Arabidopsis thaliana: one gene and its partner. The protein of the gene in region 1 interacts with the protein of each later gene in a pairwise test. Each region holds a gene or a part of one and is shown on either strand. Other genes may lie near its edges. The genes, in order: AGL38 and AT4G36590.

What was found.
Region 2: the proteins of AGL38 (region 1) and AT4G36590 interact in a two-hybrid assay, tested with the Arabidopsis thaliana proteins (one large-scale study listed by BioGRID).

Annotation. Positions count from the first base shown.
Region 1 is NC_003070.9:24,252,793-24,256,526, reverse strand, and holds AGL38 (AGAMOUS-like 38), read right to left. Parts: upstream 1,599-3,734; coding exon 762-1,598; 3' UTR 670-761; downstream 1-669. UniProt on the Arabidopsis thaliana protein: Probable transcription factor involved in the development of gametophytes and seeds.
Region 2 is NC_003075.7:17,260,208-17,264,068, forward strand, and holds AT4G36590 (MADS-box transcription factor family protein), read right to left. Parts: upstream 2,021-3,861; 5' UTR 1,983-2,020; coding exon 1,650-1,982; intron 1,353-1,649; coding exon 939-1,352; 3' UTR 730-938; downstream 1-729. Other genes in the region: AT4G36580 (AAA-type ATPase family protein), read left to right, coding at 1-454; AT4G36600 (Late embryogenesis abundant (LEA) protein), read left to right, coding at 3,441-3,673.

The DNA of each region.
Region 1 (3,734 bases):
ATGTAATTAAAAACAAATAAATAGGGCTCCTAGATGGTTAAGCCAAAACAATGTTGACCTTCCATTGCTTGATCTGTCCAAAATGGAGAGTGTGGATAGTTCTGGCCGTTTAAATGTTAAGCCATAACATTACGTTCTATCCAACAAATACTACAAACAAAAAAGTAGTTGCATGAAAAAAATTGAATGCTATTAATTTGAATCACTTGTTTACAATCGATACAAGAATTATAGTTTAACATCAATTGCAATAATCGATGTCGTATTAGTTTATGTGGCATCAGTTCACTAAAATTGATACAAATCTAAATCCATTTGCATCACTTGATACAAATATACGATTTTAAATTATTTAGAAAGTGATATAAAATTTAAATCAATAACAACCAATACTAATTAAATATTAAAAAAATTGTTTACCAAGTGATGTAATTGTTTACTCAATTTGTCTATGTCTCACATTGCTCCTATGGGAAAATGAGGCTTCATAGTTTTTTTTATTTAGTGACCTTAGTTTTTGATGGTGTAAAATAAATGTAAAGTGTAATAAACAACTTAAAGAGAAAGTTTTTGATGGTGTTAAAAAAAATGTAAAGTTTAATAAGGAACTTAAGAAAGGGTAAATAAGATAAGTGTGGACGCAAGAATTGTCCAACAATTAATAATAATAAAAAAGACATCACATATAAGTTTTGTCTTATAAAATGGAGAAAACACAAATGCAAACGATCAAACACTTCACTCGAAATACATCCCTTAGACTAGAGATCATTGGTGATGTTAGGAGCACAAACATCAGTGGGGGCAGTGGTGACGGTAGCGAGACAATCGATTTCGGGGTGGTAGTTGTTGTTGTCCATGCAAGGAATGCCCTCGTCCTCTCCATCATTAAGATTTTGATTCAAATCCAAAACCATACTTTGATTCGAATCCTTATTCATATTCATATTAAAACCATGAATTTTCTTTGGAATCTGATCATAAAAATCATAAAGAGCCTGATATTGGAATTGAACCGGCTTTTGCTGATTTTGATTATGATATTGAAACATAGGACCATCAAATCCGACTGGTGCAGCTGCATTCGCAACAATAGGAAGAGGTAAAGATGAAGAAGACTCACCGTTCTCAATAAGGATCTCAATCCTGCGAGTAAGACCATTAAGATACTTATCAATATATAAACTCAAATCTTGAAGATCCCTTCCATCAAGATTATACACATTCGTCTCCCCTTTGAGACAACCAAACATTAACTCCCGAATCTGAGAATTATGGTTCTCATCACGTAGCTTCTGCAGCTGCTCTTTTTCTTTGGCGATCCTTTGACTTATAAAAGTCTCTTGATCCACCATCTTCTTGGTCCGGTCCAACACCGACAACTCCATAAATTTCGACACCACGTCTTCAACGCCTTCCCTTGACGGCCAAGCCTCCGGGATCGAGTTGAACGGACTATAGACGACCGCACATGCTTCAACACCACATAGAGTGACTAGCTCGGTTAGTTTCTTCGTCATCCCTTTCTTCCTTTTGGTGAATGTTGTTTTCCTCGATACACTGTTTTCTATTAACGATAACTTCATCTTTCTCTTCATATCTATTGTTTTTGTTATATGTGTTTTGCTTTGTTAGCATGAGGACGATTGTTTATATACTAGATAAAATGTGTTTCTTATTGCTTTGCTGGACTATTTTCAATTTTTATTTTCAGGATATGGTATTACTTTCACCCTTACGTGTTGGCATGTGATTGATGGTAAAGTGATAATCATTTATCTTTATAGACAGCCCATATAGATATTTTACCTTTTGGGGGGCATAAAACCAGACATTTAGGGGGAAAATTGTATCATATATGTAATGTGATTTATTTTTTATATAGAAAGTCCATTTAAAGGAAAATATATATTTCAAAGGTAATTTAAGATATTTTCTTCTCTATACATTTTTCTATTTGTTATTATTTTTATTTTAATATAATTAATATAAAATGCCTAAAATTGAAACTTACAGTTACAGGTAATAATTAGTTGGATAGAAAGTAAGATTATGTCTAAGCATCTAAACAGCCAGAATCACCCACACTTTCCATTTTGGGTAAATAAGTCAATGGAATGTCAAAAATTGTTTTGGCCTAGCTATCTAGGTGTCCAATTATTCATTTTAATAAAAAATGATTAAAATGAAACATATAAGGAAATAATATATTTGATATAATTTTGTATATTTACATTAATTAAATATACAAAAATTATAGAGAAAAGAAAAACATATCCAATTAATTAGTTTTCTTGGCGGTAAATTATCTAGGAATGTCTAGTTAGCTTTAGCAAATTATGAATATTGGTATAAGATATCTATATCTAAGACTATACCATATTTTAAACTCTTGAATTATGTGAGACAACCTTAGATTTGTCACAATTTAGTAGTTGTTCTAATTAGCCGCTCCATTGAGATGGAGGAGTCTTACGAGTTCACATTAATTCGGATCAGTTTTACTAAACAAACTATTATCCACAAAAAGCTACGGAAAATTTCACAAATTAGGTCTCGTTATTCTAATCTTGACTAACATCTTATTCTTTTTCTGTCTTACAAAGATTTAAGTATTAACGTTAAATAAAAATGGTGATAAAGAATCTCATCGCCGGAGACTACATTGGGAAACATATCTCATACCTCATGATGCATCCCATCCATTTTGAGTCCAAAACCTAACTTCCGAATAAGAGGTTTATTTGGGAAACAATTTCAAGTTCTATCAAAATCTCAGTAGGTACACGTGTTAAGGCTTGTAATGTTTGGAAAATGTCATCTCCACCGTAACTCATCCACCGCAAATTCAAACTCCGCTGTAGACTCATGGCTTCATCTAGACACCTCTGCACACGGATTCCCCCTTTTGCAAATCTCTAGCAATAAATTGATTGATACTTACTCTTCTTCTCCACGTAATCCCATGAAGCAAGGGTATTACGCAGCAAATAATTATAACTTGTTTTAGAGTCATCATTTTCAAAAATGTGACTGTAGTTTAGTGGTTAGTCCCAAACATTTTACTATACAGTTTTGAATCTAATTTAGACGAAAATTTTGTAATTGTTTTAAAAAACAGTTTTTTGTTATTGGGCCAAAATCTTTTTGCTGTAGGCACTCAAATTTGGGCCCTGATTATGGCTTTGATGTGGTGAGGTGAGAAAAGTGTTTAACCAGTCCGGGGTTAGAGGTAAACCCAAAAGATCACCGCTCAAGATTGACCCGACGTGTAAGTGTATGGGTTACATTGAGTTAATCAGTGTTCTTAATCTACCTTTTTATTGTAAGAACAGAAAAACTATACCGTTCTCCGACATTTCAATCACCAATAGACTTGGTGTACTATAGACATTAGACAGCAATGTAGAGTTTAATAAACATGACCTGTGAATATAAATGCAAATTGTCCGATTTAATAAAAGCCAATCAATCACGGGGAAACTGGTATAGTCAACACTCTTAACCCACACACACATATTGACTAAATTTATCACCAAGACAACTTTATGATGTCCCATGTGTGAATAATAAATAACAATTAGTAATTAATTTACAGATCTTGCAGGTTACTTACGCTAACGCAATAGAGAGAGTTGGAACAAACATTTGACATAAAACATCTCTTACAATAATAACAGTGTCAGATAAATAAACATATTCAAAGATATTGTCTAGTCTCTGCACTTGAAGAT
Region 2 (3,861 bases), on another chromosome or scaffold:
GGACATTGTTCTTGTCTTGGCTACAAACAGACGTGGAGATCTCGATAGTGCGGTTACAGACAGGATTGATGAAGTCATTGAGTTCCCACTTCCAGGGGAAGAAGAACGTTTCAAGCTTCTCAATCTCTATCTCAACAAATATCTAAAGATGGGTGATAACAACGAAGACACAAAACCGAAATGGAGTCATTTGTTTAAGAAGCTGTCACAGAAGATTACCGTTGAAGAAGACTTAACTGATAAAGTGATTTCTGAGGCTGCAAAGAAGACAGAAGGATTCTCTGGCCGTGAGATTGCAAAGCTTGTGGCTGGAGTACAAGCTGGAGTGTACGGACGAGCGGATTGTGTTTTGGATTCACAGCTTTTTAAAGAGATTGTTGAATATAAGGTTGAAGAACATCACCGAAGGCATATGCTTGCTTCTGAAGGTTTTCAGCCATTACTCTTCTCTTAGTCATTTGGATTTTGATTATACATGTCATTTACTTGATCAGAAAGAAGAATCTGATTGTTTTAAAATGAGTCCTAAAATTGAATTTTTAGATTAAACATGTTAAAGAGTTTTACAGAATCTTGAAGTCTTACATATGAACACTTCTCGTTGTTAACATTAGATTCATTTCTGTCTGATGAGGGTTTCTTAAAAAATTGTTTTGTTCATTTGTAAATCTGGTTTGATTTCAGTATATAACATTAAGCTTAAATAGCAAAATAAAAATAAAAATATAAGTAAAATTAAAGGATAAATAAATTTATTCTGGATACAAAAATATCCAAAAACAAAGGAAAACAAACGACGAATAAAATGAAAAACCAACCAACTGAAACAAATTAAAAGAAAAAACAAACTTAAGTCTCACAATACAAGAACAATCCTAACAGTAACCATAGCCAAAATAACGCAAATATTGATTAGGATGTTCTTCTAGCTTCAGACTCTAGCTCTGGTTGAAGTTGTAACTTGACATGTAGTTCATGTTGGATATCGGAACGAGAACTCCATCATTGTTGTATCCAAACATTGGTGGTGTATGATTGGGAAACACCATGTTTGGATTATAGTTGAATGCATTTCTTCTTTGATCAAAAAGATCAATGCCAACATTACCACCACCAATCACGCCAGAACTTTGACCAAAGTAATTCTGCGAAACATTTACTTGAGAATATTGAGACATTTCTCTTACCAGTTTCTTTTTCACATCTTGAAGAGCAGATATCAGCTGGTTGGTTTCATTCATGTCGAGATCTTTCACATCTTTTTCATACCAGTTTCCTACTTGTTCTCTGGATTCTTTCAATAGGTCCAAAACCATTCTCTTCTGTTTCTCCTTTTCCTGGTTTGCCAGCACCTGCAATGAGATTCATTTCATCATGTTGTGAAAAAAACGAGATATGGTTTATATATTTGAACATTTTGAAGAAAACAATCTAACTATGGATACCATTTGATATCTTTAACAATCTAACTATGGATACGATTTGAAAACAATCTAACTATTGATGGTCTCTTTTTCCCTTAACAAATTAAGTTATAGACATAGAATTGGCATATATATATATATATATATATATATATATATATATATATATATATATATATATATATATAATTCTCTTGCATTTTTCTTTAAAACAAAATTGTTTACCTCAGTGAGTATATTGTTGAGATATTGGATATTTCTATCCGGACGGGTTTCAACAAGTTGGAGATTGTTGTTCTGATGATGGACAATGGCAGAATTATGGTTAGGATTCGAAAAGCGATGAATGAGTTCTTGAACACTTGGATGGCCAAAAGAAAACACTTTCCCACCAGGAGAGAACACAATCAACAGAATCTCTGCACCACTTAATGTGCAAAGTTCACTAGCTTTTTTGAAAAGACCGAATCTTCTTTTTGAGAAAGTAACCTGAAGGTTGCTTTCGTTTTCCATTTTTTTCATCTCTATTTTCTGACGACCTTTGGTACTTCTCACCATTTTCTCAAAAATTTGAATAAACAAATGACAAATTTGATGCTAAGAAATAAAATATGTTCTTTATATTTATACAGGTGTATTACATATGGAAATGTAATACATTATAGGTCCATTATAAGTAAACATAATCCTTCAACCCTTAATTTTGCCAAAAAATTAATTTTCCAATTTGAGGAATATTTCATAATTATCTCTGAAATTTCTTAAGGACATAATTATCTCTAAAATTTCTTAAGGATATAAAATTCATGATATTTCAAATGCAATATCATTATATTAGTTGGTAAATGCATAACAGTTTGACAAATGTATGCACCAACTGCCCATGAGAGGCACATTAAAATTTTATGAGCTGTTTGTTAAAATACTTAATCTATATTTTTGGGAAAAATCTTGAACAAAATTATCCATTAAATTATTTGTTTGTATACAGCTAATGCAAGTAATATTTATACAGTAAAACAAAATTTATCTATTTTTGAGATATCACAATCATTACTAGATAAAATATACAGTTGTACTTTACATAATAAAAAAAATTATTAAATGAAATTCAAAAGATTTTGAGTTATGGGCCCAAATTTTTTTAATTTAGATATATACCATTTACTAGATATATTTTTCATAATGATAGTGAGTTATGTTTATTGAAATTAACATTTCTAAGATATAAATAAAATGATTTATACTCAAATATTGTTGATTTTTAACTATCTTTGTTCTTAAATAAAATGTTTGAATATTACAATAATCATTATTGATTCTTATAAATATTTTAAATTATTTTATATAATTGATTTTTTGTGAAAGTTTACACTATCTGACTTATCTTATTAGAAAACTTTGTAATTGTATCGTCAAAACGTTTAAAATTGGTGTCTTCTTCACCTCTCTCACTTTCGGTTGGGCTCATGCTGGGTTTCTTGTTGGGCTTAGTTTTGTTTTTTTATGGTTTAAATCAATTTTCTTGGTTGAACCAAAAAAAAAACAGTTTTCTTTAAAAATGAGATGACAAAAAAAAAACATTGGATTAACTAAGAAAGGTAAAAAAATAAACACTTTCTGATTTACCTTTTTACTGGATTATCCGGTTTGTAACCCTGCTAAGCGCATGGCTTCGGTTTTCTAAACCGGTTATTTTAATCTTTCCAAGTATTGAAACTTCCTCTACGCGACCGGCCACGTGACCTCGGGTCGGGAGACACTAACCCTACAAAATCGAACCACAAGTGGACACGTCGCAAGCACTTCCAGCATAACCGCCTCTTTAATTGCCACGTAAACATCGAATAACCACGTAATCATCGAATAACCACGTGTCTTACAATAACCGCTTATCTAGTGAAAGAAAGGAATGTGATCTCTCCCTCTCTCGCTCATCTATAACTAGAAACTTCCTCCATGAAGATTGGAACCAAGAAACAAAACAAAAAATCGGAATTTTAAAGAATAGGAATAATGGAGAGAAGAACGTTGATGATGATTATGATGCTTACGACGGTGGTGACGCTGACGTGGCAGAAGCAATGCTATGGATGGGGAACGGAGACAGCAGAGGATATGGTTAGAAACGAAGCAGAGCATGCTAAAAACGCAGCCGAGACCGCTAAGAAAATGGCGTCCGATGCGGCTCATGACACAAAGGACAAAACCGCCTCTTGGGCTGGTTGGGTTTCCGACAAAATTTCCACGTAAGCGTTAACTTTTGTTTAGGCATGATCATACTTCTATTTTGGATCTGTGTTGGTTTCTTCTAATGGAACCATCTTCTCATAGTGTTTGATTTCAAATTGTAAACGTAGATCTGAGTTTTGTTTTAAGAGAAATTTGAAATGTATATATATAAACGCATGTTACGCATCATTTGCATTTCAAACTG